Linked DNA regions of Oryctolagus cuniculus. The protein of the gene in region 3 purifies or fractionates together with the protein of the main gene of each other region. This does not show direct contact. Links are inferred from orthologs where the notes say so. Each region holds a gene or a part of one and is shown on either strand. Other genes may lie near its edges.

Region 1 (3,517 bases), on a different chromosome or scaffold from region 3:
TTTGGTCACAGGCACACTCTTTCAATGGCTACAATATGCAATTAAAGTGAAACTTCCATCCAGGCTAACTTGATAACAATCTTGCCAATAGCAGATTGTCCTGAGAGTAATTTCCCACAGTGCCCTCCATACTAAAAACTATAATGTCTAACTGTGAAGGCTCTTCCTTTAACACACAGATGACTATTTACAATGAAGAGAAACTACAGTAAATGGCATCATGTAACTGATAAAGGCATATATGTGAAGAATATTATGCCAGCATAGAGGGTAGAGTTCATCTACAAAGGGAAGCCTGGCTTGTCTCATTTAATCTTCTTTCACTCACACCTTTCAAATATTTTTAAAATGTAGACCTTAATCACAAAAACAGAAGTTAATAACAATAACAATGTAGGTATGTAGTCTAGATTAAAATATAAATTTAAGATTATTAAATATAAAAAAAATTATATTAACTTCTTAACATATCTTTCAACAACAGAGGCTGCTAAAACACTGTAATTTAAAGTGTGCCTTATTTAGATAAAGGGATTTCTGTTTATGGTGAGAAATAAGACATTTAAACAATGTTATCTGACAATTAAACCTGGATATTTGATGAATTTCCTTAATATTCAAAATAGATCTATAAACTAATTTATAACTAAGATCTGTCCAATTGCTTTGCAGGTCCTGCAGTAGCTCAGCTGTTACTACAAAAATTAAATGAGCTGTAAACGAAATTTAAAATACGTTTTTGTTCCTACTAATAATCAGATGTTAAAATGAAGATTCCTTGACATTGATTTTACTTTTTAAATCACATCTGTATTGACTGGGGGAATGGTTCCTCACAACAGCCAAACCAATGCCATTGATTTTCTCTTAAAGTAAACCACTTGTTTTCTGCAGGGAGAGGAAATTGCCTCCTCCCCAAAGCAGCCTACAAAGCAAGCACCGTCTGACCCTACGCTGCCAAGTGTCATCCTAGACCCTGCAGCATAAGCTTTATCTCCACTCCTGGGCTCCTCCATTTGCCTCCTTTTCCATGACAGCACTGCTTTCAGAACATCACAAGTCTAGACTACCAACAGATACAGTAAAAATACCTAGGCCTAATTGTGTAGCAGAGATCTCCAGGCACCTGTGGGAACAAGGGCTCCTCCCCTCCACATCATTTTTTGAGAGGCAAATAGAGAGAAAGTTCCCATCCTATGGTTCACTCTCAATGCCTGTGTCAGCCAGCCAGGGCTTGGCAGAAGCTGAAGCCAGGAGCCACCAGCTCAACACAGCTCTCCCACATGGGAACTCAAACCCTTGAGCCATCGCTGCTGCCTCCCAGGGTTTGCATTAGCAGGAAGCTGGCATCAGAAGCCAGAGCTTGGAAATGAACCCAGACACTCTAGGGACCCTAATTGTTAGGTCAAACACACTTTTAACTTGTCAGATTACTAAGGTTAAAATGCATATGGATAATGGAATAGTGACCTAACAACAAGAAAGTAGGGCATGTTGGTGTGTAAGATGGTAGCATTCCCAATTCTGCACATGGAGTCCTTTCCTCCTTAGTCCCTGGCCACCTGTGACTATTTTAATTTAATGCTACATGCTCCTCCTATATGCATAGGGCAAAGCTGGAGAACAGAGGCCACTGAAAATAACAAATAATAAATTAAGAAAAATTGGAAACCAGCCTGGAGCTCTGCAGATTAAGCCACTGCTTGGAATACTGGCATCCTACATGGGTGTGGGTTAGATATTGCTGTCATTTGGGAAGTGAACCAGAGCACGGAAGATCTCTCTGTCTCTCCCTCTATCTCTGTTAACTGCCTTTCAAATAAACAAACCTTAAGAAAAACTTAAAAAAAAAAAAAGAAAGAAAGAAAGAAAGCTTAGAGGACTAGAACCTGAGACATCTCTAAATTAGCAATTATTTTGAAAAGATATTTCACCAACTTAAAATGGTTCTCAAAAGAAATATAGGGACCAGCACCGTCCCATAGCAGGTAAAGCTGCCACCTGCAGTGCCAGCATCCCATAAGAGTGCTGGTTTGAGTCCCAGTTGTTCCATTTCCAATGCAGCTCCCTGCTAGTGTACCTGGGAAAGCAGAAGAAGATGGCCAAAGCCCTTGGGCTCCTGCACCCATGTGGGAGACCCGAAGGAAGCTCCTGGCTCCTGGCTGCACACTGCCCCAGCGCACCAGCCAGCCATTGTAGCTATTTGAGGAGTGAACCAACTGATGGAAGATCTCTCTGTCTCTTCTCTCTCTCTGTAACATTGCCTTTCAAATAAATCAATCAATCTTTAAAAAAAAAAAAAAAAAGAAAGAAACATACAATCTTCCCACTGGAACTAGTTCAGGTCTTACCTGCCACCTATCACTTCTTAACTTCACCAAGAAGAAAGAATCGCCAATGAGACAGTCATTCTCTTGTGGATGTAGTGGCTTGTTAGCAAAGGGGTCAGGATGGCAGCACCATTCTCCAACTAGAGCTCCCCAGTTCTCACTTGGAAGTGGCAGTATCCTCAGGAGCTTCCTAATGGAAAGAGGAAAATCTATTTTTCACAGATGGAACTAACATTTTAATAATTAAATCAGCATGAAAAATGAGAGGGACCCATTAGCCACATGGCTTGCTATGTTAATTTTCTCCCAACTTATAAAAGTAATATACACTCGGGCCGGCGCCACGGCTCACTAGGCTAATCCTCCGCCTTGCGGCACCGGAACACCGGGGTCTAGTCCCAGTCTGGGCGCCGGATTCTGTCCCGGTTGCCCCTCTTCCAGGCCAGCTCTCTGCTGTGGCCAGGGAGTGCAGTGGAGGATGGCCCAAGTGCTTGGGCCCTGCACCCCATGGGAGACCAGGATAAGTACCTGGCTCCTGCCATTAGATCAACGCGGTGTGCCGGCCACGGCGGCCATTGGAGGGTGAACAAACGGCAAAGGAAGACCTTTATCTCTGTCTCTCTCTCTCACTGTCCACTCTGCCTGTCAAAAAAAAAAAAAAAGTAATATACACTCACTACAGATTGTTTGAAAATGCGAAGTATAAAGAAAGCAAAAATCATCCTTTTTTTTTTTTTTTTTGACAGGCACAGGCAGAGTTAGACAGTGAGAGAGAGAGAGTTATAGACAGTGAGAGAGACAGAGAGAGAGAGGTCTTCCTTCCGTTGGTTCACTCCCCTAATGGCCGCTACGGCCGGCACTGCGCCGATCTGAAGCCAGGAGCCAGGTGCTTCCTCTTGGTCTCCCATGCGGGTGCAGGGGGCCAAGCACTTGGGCCATCCTCCGCTGCTCTCCCGGGCCACAGCAGAGAGCTGGACTGGAAGAGGAGCAACCGGGACTAGAATCCGGGGTGCCAGCACCGCAGGCAGAGGATTAACCAAGTGAGCCATGGTGCCGGCCAAAAATCATCTTTTTCTTACTATTCAAAGATAAGTAACTACTTATTACATGAGAGTACATTTCTTTGCCATCCTTTCTAGAGACACATTTGAACACAATCACATAAAGCCTGGAATTAGAGGACATAT
Region 2 (3,517 bases), on a different chromosome or scaffold from region 3:
AAAACAAAAAACTTCCCATTGTCATTTGGGAGGGCAAAAGATGTATTCTCTAGTCAAAACATATAAAGCGGGGCCAGCGCTGTGGCTCATTGGTTAATCCTCTGCCTGCGGCACCAGAATCCCATATGGGTGCTGATTCTAGTCCCGGTTGCCCCTCTTCCAGGCCAGCTCTCTGCTGTGGCCCGGGAAGGCAGTGGAGGATGGCCCAAGTGCTTGGGCCCTGCACCCCATGGGAGACCAGGAGAAGCACCTGGCTCCTGGCTTTGGATTGGTGTAGCTCTGGCCGTGGCGGCCATTTGGGGGGAAACCAACGGAAAGAAGACCTTTCTTTCTCTCTCTTTCTAATTCTATCTGTCAAAAAAAAAAAAAAAAACCATATAAAGCTCCCTCTGTACTGGATGAAATTTATTGATTCTATTGTTTACTGTCTCAGTGTCCTTACTTGTTTTTTGTCCACTAGCACAATGCTATTTGAAGTGTGATCCACCAATGGTGCTGATCTATACACTGTATGTTAACAGTTCATGACAAGGTAAGTACAGAAATGGACTGCAGACACATAGAAACATTTTACAGCAATATGAAAATGCTGTGACATTGAAGTGTGTGATCAGTGCACGTGTTTCACTGAACAAAGCATAGACCAGTCTAAGTAAACTTGTGTAACAACCTGCATATATCGTGGGTTGCATATTTGCCATGTGCAGGGCATTACAACTTGAGATATTTTTAAGGTATGCTAGACATGTCTAATTTAAAAATGTATAAAAGGCTGAGCCTATTTCTTTCATTGAGAGAGAATTACAACTCAATTTGATAATGAGCATAAATGAAAATTCTGAGTTTTAGAAATTTCTTTAAAAATCGATTCCTTGTTAACTTAGCTGTGTAGACTTGATTTATCTACAAAACAGAGTAATCTACATTATTCTCATGAGTAGTGTACAGCCAATCTAATATTAGATAAATTAGCCAATAAGCAAGTTTGATTCATAAAAAACTATAAATGTTGAAAATAACTCGGGTTCACACAGGTCTTTCATATAAAGAACTGCTATTTCACTCAGTGTGTTTAGGTACAGTGAAAAGTTAATGGGGGGCTGGCATTGAGGTGCATTGGGTTAAGCAGTAGCTTGCAACACTGGCAACCCATATCAGAGCACTGGTTTGAAGCCCGGATTTTATGCTTCTAATCCAGTTCCCTGCTAATGTGCCTCGAAAGGCAGTAGAAGATGGTCCAAGTACTTGGGCCCCTGCCACTCATATGAGAGACCTGGATGGAATTCCTGGGTCCTGGCTTCAGCCTGGCCTAGTTATAGCTATCGTGGCCATTTGGAGAAATCAACCAGCAGATGGAAGATCTTTCTCTCTTTTCTTCTCTGTCACTCTGCCTTTCAAATAAATAAAATAAAATCTTTTTGAAAAGAAAAGCTAACTGTAATAGCAATATTCTTTGTGTTTTTTTTAAAGATTTATGTATTTATTTCAAAGTCAGAGGTGTAGAGAGGGAGAGGGAGAGGAAGAGGAAGAGGGAGAGGGAGAGGGAGAGGGAGAGGGAGAGGGAGACGGGGAGAAGGAAGGAGGGAAGGAGGGAGGGAGGGAGGGAGAGGGAGAGAAAGAGAGAGAGATCTTTTATCCGATGGTTCACTACCCAAATGGCTGCAATGGCCAGAGTCGGGTCAGACAGAAGCCAGGAGCCAGGAGCCTCTTCTGGATCTCCCTTGTGGGTGCAGGGGCCCAAGCCAAGCATATTAGCAGAGAGCTGGATTGGAAGTGGAGCAGTTGGGACTCCAATCCGTGCCCATATGGGATGCCAGTGTCACAGGTGGTGGCTTTACCAGCCACGCCACAATGCTGGCTTCAATAGCAACATTCTTAATTGTCCACCTATATACTTTCAATGAATATAGAGTTTCCAAATTTATTTCTTTTGTTGGTTAGTCTTATTGTATTTTTTAAAATGCAATTTTAGACTTGCTAAACATAACACATGTGACTATGTACTTTGTGTCTGTTTTCTTCATGAGCTTTTTAACCTAATCTAACAGTTTTCAGCTTTTAGTGGGAGAATTCAATTCATTCACATTTAGCAGGATAACAACTTAAACCAGTTTTTATTTCTTCTATCTTACTCTACATTTATTTTTACTTATTTTACATTGTCTTTTCCTTTAATTTTTTCTGGCTTGTTTTAGCTTCCATTCATTTCATTTTCCCCCTTGTTAATTTGGAAGTTTTACTCCAAGTTTCCACTTGAGTGTCCCATATAATCAGATATTTAAGGATTTGTGTATAAGAAATCAACTATTTCCTTCCTCCGGGATATATAATTTCTAGCTGTATGAGGGGACTTCAAAAAGTTTATAGAAAATGAAGTTGAAAGATAACTTGATTTTGGTGCAAATTGTACAGTATGCAAATTCCATGGACTTTTTAAAGTACTCTCCTATATTAACTTTATATCAAGATCCTATTACCACATAATACTTTGGCTACACTGCAGCAGTTGCTATGACAACATTTCAACAAAGTACAGAAATGGTGTCGACTTGAAATGAAAGTTACCTCCAGGAGCTAAGGAACCAGGGCCAGGTCCTGTGACAGCAGCGGCCATCTGCCCTGGTGCTGGAACACCACCTGGCATAGAAGCTTGCATCAGAGGAGGTGCGCCATTGACGTGCATTCCACCCTGATCAAGACAAAAAAACACAGTATGTACTTGCTTTCATGAAGACTTAATACACTAAGTCTGCGATTTTAAAGTTCATCAAATTGACAGCTCCAAGTATGATACCATACGTTCTTTTTGTATAATATGTCTTACATGGCATTAGATCTAACACACATTTTGAATTCCACAGAAACAAGCTGTAATATATATCATGAGCCTGGTTATATGGAACACAGTTACTATGCAACATATTCTACAAGTTGAATTGATAAGCCTTATCTGTGTGGCAAGGCATCATGAAGCATCTGTTGTCAACTTCATGACTGGGGCCTGGCATTAAGATTAACAACAACAACAAGTGTCTTGAATACAAGAGGAAAAAGAGGCTGGGACTTTTTAAAAAAGTAACCTAGCCACCTGTTTTTAAGAGGAAAAAAAACTTTTTTAAATTTGATAAATTTTCCCTCATTCCTGTCCTCAGATATAATTCTGGTCTGGGGGGAATGTCATATTTTTTTAAAGACTTGAGTTTCACCGAGGTCTCACATGTGGGTGGCAGGGGCCCAAGCACTTGGAACATCTTCTGCAGCTGGGATCAAACTGGTGCCAATATGGGATGCCGGCATCACAGGTTGAGGCCTAACTCATTACATCACAACACAGACACCAAAATGTTATTAATGCTATTTTTAAAAGATTTTTTTACTTATGTACTTGAAAGGTAGAATTACAGAGAGAGGAGGGGGCTGGCGCTGTGGCTCACTTGGCTAATCCTCCACCTGTGGCACCGGCATCCCATATGGGCACTGGGTTCTAGTCCCTGTTGCTCCTCTTCCAGTCCAGCTC
Region 3 (3,517 bases):
AAGGCCAAGGAGAGTCCAGGGGGTCTCCACCCACCCAAGACAGAACTCCCGGAGAACTGATCCAGACTCCCCACGACCGCAGGTTTCAACATTCTGAGCCAGCCTGGCATTCGTATTTTTTCTTTTTTTAAGAGATTATTTACTTATTTGACAGACAGAGTTATTCAAAGGAGAGAGAGAAAGAGAAAGAAAGAAAGAGAGAGAGAGAGATGTCTTCTGTCCACCGATTCACTTCCCAGATGGCCTTAATGTGCCAGGCAAAAGCCAGGGGCTGGAAGCTTTGTCTGTCCGGGTCACCCTTACGGATGGCAGGGGCCCAAGCACTTGGGCCATCCTCCACTGCTTTCCAGGCTCATCAGCAGGGAGCTGGATCAGAACTGGAGCTGCTCAGACTCTAACAGGAGCCTAGCTGGCCCCGCCATCTTAGCATTCTGACCAAAAAGTTTACAACTATTTCAAGGGAAAACTTGGCTCTAAATCTTAAACAACTGACTTAAAAAATACATACTTCAAAGACAGAGCCTTGGGGCCAGTGCTGTGGTGTAGTGGGTTAAGCCTCTCCTTGTGGTGCCAGCATCCCATATGGACACCGGTTCTAGTCCCGGCTGCTCCTCTTCCGGTCCAGCTCTCTGCTATGGCCCAGGAAAGCAGAAGATGGCCCAAGTCCTTGGGGCCCTGCACCCACGTGGGAGACCTAGAAGAAGCTCCTGGCTCTGGATTGGCCCAGCTCCGGCTGTTGCAGCCATCAGGGAAGTAAACCAGAGGATGGAAACACCCCACCCCACCCCCCCGTCTTTAACTCTGGCTCTCAAATAAATAAATCTTTAAAAAAAATGAAAGTAAAAATAAAGGCAAAGCCTATTTACTCAAAGCTCACTTAAAACTTAAAATTACTTTGGGTATTATCCTATTATCATTAAAGCACTAACTGGAACGAAACAATCTCTTTAAATAAAATCAGACTTAGTGAATGCTTCAGAAAAGTAAACATGAAATGATTAGATTTGAGTGAGAGTAGAGGAATGATGTTAACACAAAATGTTTTCTTCTTAGTAGAAGTTTTTTTGTTTATTTATTTATTTATTTTTTGACAGGCAGAGTGGACAGTGAGAGAGAGAGACAGAGAGAAAGGTCTTCCTTTTGCCGTTGGTTCACCCTCCAATGGCCGCCACGGCTGGCGCGCTGCAGCCGGCGCACTGCGCTGATCCGATGGCAGGAGCCAGGTACTTATCCTGGTCTCCTATGGGGTGCAGGGCTCAAGCACTTGGGCCATCCTCCACTGCACTCCCGGGCCACAGCAGAGAGCTGGCCTGGAAGAGGGGCAACCGGGACAGAATCCGGCGCCCCGACCGGGACTAGAACCCAGTGTGCTGGCGCTGCAAGGCGGAGGATTAGCCTAGTGAGCCGCGGCGCCGGCTACTTAGAAGTTTTAACCAAGTACTTAGCAATGGTAAAGACTGAGGCCACAGGGAGAGACCAGGGCCACATCCGCTCATACAAAGAACGAACGCCAGTCGCTGGGATTCTGATTTCGGGCAGAGAAATGCCACCTGCTAGAAAAGAGCCCTGCTTTCCCCGGCGGAGGTCAGCCACAGCCAACGGCAGGCACCGCCACCAAGGGTGGTCTGCATGTCCCCGCTCCTGTCCTTCGTCCTTCCACGAGCACTCACCTTGAGGTTACTGATGTGTTTGAAGACAAAGGGGTTGTTGATGTTGATCTGTTTGCGGATCTTGTCGTTCATGGCGTTGACGTACGTCTGGTACACGGCCATGCACTTCTTGGCCAGGGATGAGGCGTAGTATATGGGAATGTCATGCAGCTCTGGGTGATTCTGCCAGTACTCATCTGGAGAGGTTTTACAAGAAGCACAAACTGTGTTATGCTGCATAAATAGCTCAAATAAAATATGATGCACATGAGTAAGTTTCTAAAATTCAGAAAACCAAGAAGTGAATTAAAGCATTCAACTATGTTTAAGAGAGTTACAAAAAATTAGTTGGATCCTTACCAACTTAAACTCACAAATCCAAAAGTTATTTCTAAATACTAATATACCACCCCCAAAAATCCTGTGATTGTAGAACAAGGGGTGGAGGCTTTTAAAAATGACAGGGGTGGGGGCCGGCACTGTGGCACAGTGGGTAGAGCTGCTGCCTGCAGTGCCAGTATCCCATATGGGCGCTGGTTCGAGTCCTGGCTGCTCCACTTCTAATCCAACCCTTTACTATGGCCTGGGAATGCAACAGAAGATGGCCCAAGTGCTTGGGCCCCTGCACCCATGTGGGAGACCCGGAGGAGGCTCCTGGCTCCTGGCTCCAGATTGGCGCACCTCTGGCAATTGCGGCCAGTTGGGGAGTGAACCAGTAGTTGGAAGATCTCTCTCTTTCTTTCTCTGCCTCTGTTTCTCTCTCTGTGTAACTTTGACTTTCAAATAAATAAATAAATCTTAAAAAAAAAAAAAAAAAAAAAGACTGGGGTGGGGGGCCCTGGTGCTGTGGTGCAGTGGGCTAAGCCCCGGTCTGCAGTGCTGGTATCCGCATGGGTGCCAGTTTGAGTCGTGGCTGCTCCGCTTCAGATCCAGCTCTCTGCTAACGTGCCTAGGAGAGCAGCTGAGGATGGCCCAAGCCCTGGGCCCCTGTACCCACGTGGGAGACCTTGAGGGAGCTCCTGGATCCCAGCTTCAGCCTGGCATAGCCCTGGCTGTTGCGGCCATTTGGCGAATGAACTGGTAGATGATCTCTCTCTGCCCCTCCTTCTGTCTTTCTAACTTTGCCTTTCAAACGAATAAATAAATCTTAAAAATTGCTCTGATTCCAATCCAGCTTCCTGCTCATGTGCCTGGGAAGGCGGCAGAAGATACCCAAGTACGTGGGCCTCTGCCACCCATGTGAGAGACCAGGATAGAGTTTCTGCTGGTCAGAGAATTCACACCATTTAAGGCTTCCAGGGCTGACGGCACAGAATGGTATGCCAGCTTCTGCTCCCAAGGGCAGTGCCCAGGGTTGCTGGTTCGCTGGATTCTTATTAGAAAGCAAAGCTCAGAAAGGCGGCGCGACGCAGCCAAGGCTCTGTCATCATCTCGCTAGAACGGTGCAGGTTTGAGAAGCTTCCAAAGGAAGAGGCACACCTAGAATCAGGAGGAGCTCCTGAGCCCTCCCGAGAGCGAAGACGGGAATGAGACCGCGGCCTCCTCTGTTCACGATGTCGTGGACAGTGTTACAGAATCTTGCTTCTCGCTCTTCACGCTTCTCGTGGATATGGGTCCCGTAAGTCGATTCCTACATAACACACGAAAAACGTGACACCAAGACCAGTGATGCCCAGAGAGTCACAAAGGGAAACGTCAGCGAGACGCTGAGGCAAACAAAGTGATTCACTTCTCAGTTAACATGCCATTTGCTTGAGCACATAGTATTACAGGATTAATCAGAAAGAACCGCAAGTAAGAACAGCAGAATTCAGTTCCGAGTGATAAGAAATTCTCAAAAAACGGGATCAGGAAATAGTCCAAATATG
Region 4 (3,517 bases), on a different chromosome or scaffold from region 3:
TTTCTCTGCGGAGCAGCGGCGAATCCCCTAGACATTTGGTCTTCGATGTGAGCCCCTAGGGGAGACACCCAGAAGTGGTGCTGCTGTGGCGACAGGGGCGTGCACACTCGAAGCAGGGTGTGCTGTCCGACGGCGCTCCCAGAGGTGTTTGTACGCAGCACGCCCCTCCTGCGACAGTGCAGGCTTCTGGGGTTTGCCAGCACATCAGCAGGAAGTGCGACCTGAACAGGTTTGGGGGTTGTACTTCCCAAGCTCCTGGTCAAAGACAGAACCTTTTAAACAGTTTAAACAGTTAAGCGTGTGAATTGATTGGCTGACGTTGTCTTCCGGCTTCTTGAGATCGGCTCGAGGGGTATGGCTCATTCCCATTTCCCAGATGCAGAGAGCAGAGGCCCAGAGACAGGCAGTTGGCCAGGGTTGATGGCGCTTTGATGGCAGAGGCAGAGTTGCTGCCTGGATCTTCATCCACGGTGGGGCTGCCGTCTGCTGGGCCTGCCTGGACACGTGGGCTTCCTGGGAACGGGCTGGGTCGGGGCTGCTGTTCTCTCTAGAACCACATCCTGTTCTCTCTCCCGATCCTAGAGCCCAACCTGGGGGAAGACGACGAGGACAAGGACTTAGAGCCAGGCCCATCGGGGACCTCCAAGGCCTCGGCCCAGCTCTCAGGCCAGTCAGACACAGACATCACAGCCGAGTTCCTGCAGCCTCTGCTGACGCCCGACAATGTGGCCAATCTGGTGAGGCTGGGCGGTGTCAGGAACCCCGTGAATTGATGATTGGGATTGGGCATTGGGGGGCCAGGATGGCCGGCGCCTTCCTCAGATTCTCAGGGATATAGTGACCTGCAGGGCGGGCGCCAGCCTGCAGCCATGCCGGGCCCACATGTTCCCACTGGGCACTGGGGAGGAGGCCTCGTCCCAGGCCCAGCAGCAGCCACCCTCCGCCTCCCCTCCACCTGGGGACTCTGAGAGCAGAGTTGCTGTGTCAGTGGGATTTTGGTCACGGGGAAGTGAGAAGGAGTTTTCTCTCCGCTCAGATCTCTGGTGGCTTCAGGCCTGACAACGAGCCGCCGCCTGCTTCCCCCGCCCCGTATGTCCCTGGGCATTGCAGACTCAACATCTGAACGCACACTGGGAAATCTCCCCACACTCCCCTGCAGGCCTGCGGCCCTCCCACGCCCTCCTTGGCAGGCCAGCTTCCCAGATCCCAAGCCAGCAACCGGTGTTAACCTCTTCACTCTCCCCCTTCCGCCCAGCCCCTGCCCTGCTGTGGGCCCACCTGCACTTGCTGCCCGGCTCCGGCCACCTCCAGTCGCTGGCCGTGCGGAGTTTGCAGAGTTAGCTTCAGGCCACACCTCTGCTCTGACGCCAGCCGTGGTTCTCTGTTCACGCGGAATTTAAACTCAGCTCACCAGGGGAGGCCTCTGATTTGGCTTCTGTGATCCTGTTGTACCTTTCTCAGCTTGTCTCACTCTGGAAAATCGTCCTCTTCACATTTGTTGCCAGGATGTTGGTGGTTTTTTTTTTTTTTTTTTTTAAGATTTATTTATTTATTTGAAAGTCAGAGTTACACAGAGAAAAGAAAAAGAGAGGCAGAGAGAGAGAGATCTTCCATCCGATGATTCACTCCCCAGTTGGCCACAACGGCCAGAGCTGCGCCAATGTGAAGCCAGGAGCCAGGAGCTTCCCTGTGGTCTCCCACGTGGGTGCAGGGGCCCAAGGACTTGGGCCATCCTCCACTGCTTTCCCAGGCGATAGCAGAGAGCTGGACTGGAAGTGGAGCAGCCGGGACTAGAACCGGCGCCCATATGGGATGCCGGTGCTGCAGGCCAGGGGGTTAACCCTCTGCACCGCAGCACCGGCCCCGGTGGTTCTTTCACAGTTGGAGAAGCCCGGCTGTCTCTGGTGCAGGCCCCCTCTGCTTTGCGGTACCTCGCCATGTCCAGCCTTGCCTTGGACATACATGCTGGTTTTTTATCATTCCAAGAACTGGCTCTTTGTTTTGCTGATTCTTTTTTTTCCCTTTATTAAAATATTTATTTATTTATTTTGAAAGGCAGTGTTAGAGAGGGAGAGAGATCTTCTATCCACTGGTTCACTCCCCAGATGACTGCAATGGCCGGGGCTGGGCCAGTCCAAAGCCAGGAGCTTCTTCCAGGTCTCCCATGTGGGTGCAGGGGCCCAGGCACTCGGTGCATCAGCAGGGAGCTGGATCGGAAGTGGAGCAGCTGGGACTTGGACCAGCATTGCAGGCGGTGGCTGTACCCGCTGCGTCACAACACTGGCCCCTTGCTGATTCTTTTATAACCTTCTCTGTTGCTTTTATTGTGTTCTGGTAGTTTCTTTGAATGTTTGTCCCAAAGTTTCAAATTCAGTGCTTGGTTCATTAATTTTCAATCATCTTTTCCAATGTAAGTATTTTCAGGGTGTGTGATTTTCCATCTGAATACCATTTTAGCTGCATTCCACATACTTTGATATGCAGTAATCTCATTATCTTTCTGTTGTAATTATTTTATTATTTAATATATGCATTTAAGGTTTGGAATGTATTGAGCATTTAAAATTACCTTTCATTACCAATTCCTAAAATATGTGGGTGTTCTGGTAGGGTGCTGGGTTTTTTGTTTGCTTGCTTTTCTATTTTTAAATTTATTTTATTTGAGAGAGAGGTGCTCCATCTGATAGTTCATTCCCCCAATACGCCCAATAGCTAGAGCTGGGCCAGCTTGAAGCCAGGAGACAGGAGCTCCATGCAGGTCTCCCATGGGTGGCAGGGACCCGAGTACTTGCATTATCTGCTCCCTCCCAGGCAGGTTAGCAAGAAGCTGGATTACAAGTGGAGCAAGCAGGGGTCAAAGCAAGACTGACGCAGGCTGCAGCATCCCAAGCAGCAGTTCAGCTGAGAGAAAGGGAGAGACAGACACACACAGAGGTCTTCCATCCACTGGTTCACTCCCCAGCTGCCTCTAGTGGCCATGGCAGGTCTCCCACATGTGTGCAGGGCCCAAGGACTTGGGCCGTCTTCCGCTGCTTTCCCCGGCGCATTAGCAGGGAGCTGGATTGAAATTGGAGCAGCCGGGACTCGAACCAGCATCACAGGCGGCTTCACTCCACTGTGCCACAGCACCGGCCCCCACCCCAGCTTGTTTTTAAGTCCATTTCCCACCCATCCAGTCTTCACTGAGCCTCTTTGCGTGCTGTGGACATTCTGTTGCCCTTCAACCTTCTCCCATGCTGCTCCTGCACCTGCAGTCGACTTCCCTAAGCCCGGCGGCTCCTTGCCCTCTCCTCAGTTCCCGCCCTACCTGCTGCTTCCCTGGGAGCGGAAGCCTCGGGAGGCCTCTGGGTGCAGCTCCGGCCACCTCCTCTTTTCTCAGCCACACCGAGAACAACTGTGTTGTTCCCGCTGACTGCCCCCAAAGCGGGGCTGCGCCGCAGTAGCCCTGGCTGTGGCCTGGTCGTGGGCTGGAGGCTGTTGAGCTCACAGTTAAGAGAGGCTCTTCTTCCGGGCACCC

Evidence for each region. The genes of interacting proteins can lie anywhere in the genome.
Region 1: the proteins of CPSF3 (region 3) and UBE3D purify together in Homo sapiens (affinity purification with mass spectrometry; 4 studies listed by BioGRID and IntAct, counting the BioPlex papers as one, with this or other methods). This does not show direct contact. The link is inferred for Oryctolagus cuniculus from reciprocal best matches to the Homo sapiens genes CPSF3 and UBE3D.
Region 2: the proteins of CPSF3 (region 3) and CSTF2 purify together in Homo sapiens (affinity purification with mass spectrometry; 3 studies listed by BioGRID and IntAct, with this or other methods). This does not show direct contact. The link is inferred for Oryctolagus cuniculus from reciprocal best matches to the Homo sapiens genes CPSF3 and CSTF2.
Region 4: the proteins of CPSF3 (region 3) and SYMPK fractionate together in Homo sapiens (co-fractionation; 6 studies listed by BioGRID and IntAct, with this or other methods). This does not show direct contact. The link is inferred for Oryctolagus cuniculus from reciprocal best matches to the Homo sapiens genes CPSF3 and SYMPK.

What each region holds. Positions count from the first base shown.
Region 1 is NC_091436.1:89,378,502-89,382,018, reverse strand, and holds part of UBE3D (E3 ubiquitin-protein ligase E3D), read right to left. Parts: intron 2,521-3,517; coding exon 2,352-2,520; intron 1-2,351. UniProt on the Homo sapiens protein: E3 ubiquitin-protein ligase which accepts ubiquitin from specific E2 ubiquitin-conjugating enzymes, and transfers it to substrates, generally promoting their degradation by the proteasome.
Region 2 is NC_091453.1:91,881,662-91,885,178, forward strand, and holds part of CSTF2 (cleavage stimulation factor subunit 2), read right to left. Parts: intron 2,690-3,517; coding exon 2,566-2,689; intron 1-2,565. UniProt on the Homo sapiens protein: One of the multiple factors required for polyadenylation and 3'-end cleavage of mammalian pre-mRNAs. This subunit is directly involved in the binding to pre-mRNAs.
Region 3 is NC_091433.1:192,651,114-192,654,630, forward strand, and holds part of CPSF3 (cleavage and polyadenylation specificity factor subunit 3), read right to left. Parts: intron 3,280-3,517; coding exon 3,129-3,279; intron 1,847-3,128; coding exon 1,671-1,846; intron 1-1,670. UniProt on the Homo sapiens protein: Component of the cleavage and polyadenylation specificity factor (CPSF) complex that plays a key role in pre-mRNA 3'-end formation, recognizing the AAUAAA signal sequence and interacting with poly(A) polymerase and other factors to bring about cleavage and poly(A) addition.
Region 4 is NC_091449.1:11,189,588-11,193,104, forward strand, and holds part of SYMPK (symplekin), read left to right. Parts: intron 1-582; coding exon 583-737; intron 738-3,517. UniProt on the Homo sapiens protein: Scaffold protein that functions as a component of a multimolecular complex involved in histone mRNA 3'-end processing. Specific component of the tight junction (TJ) plaque, but might not be an exclusively junctional component. May have a house-keeping rule.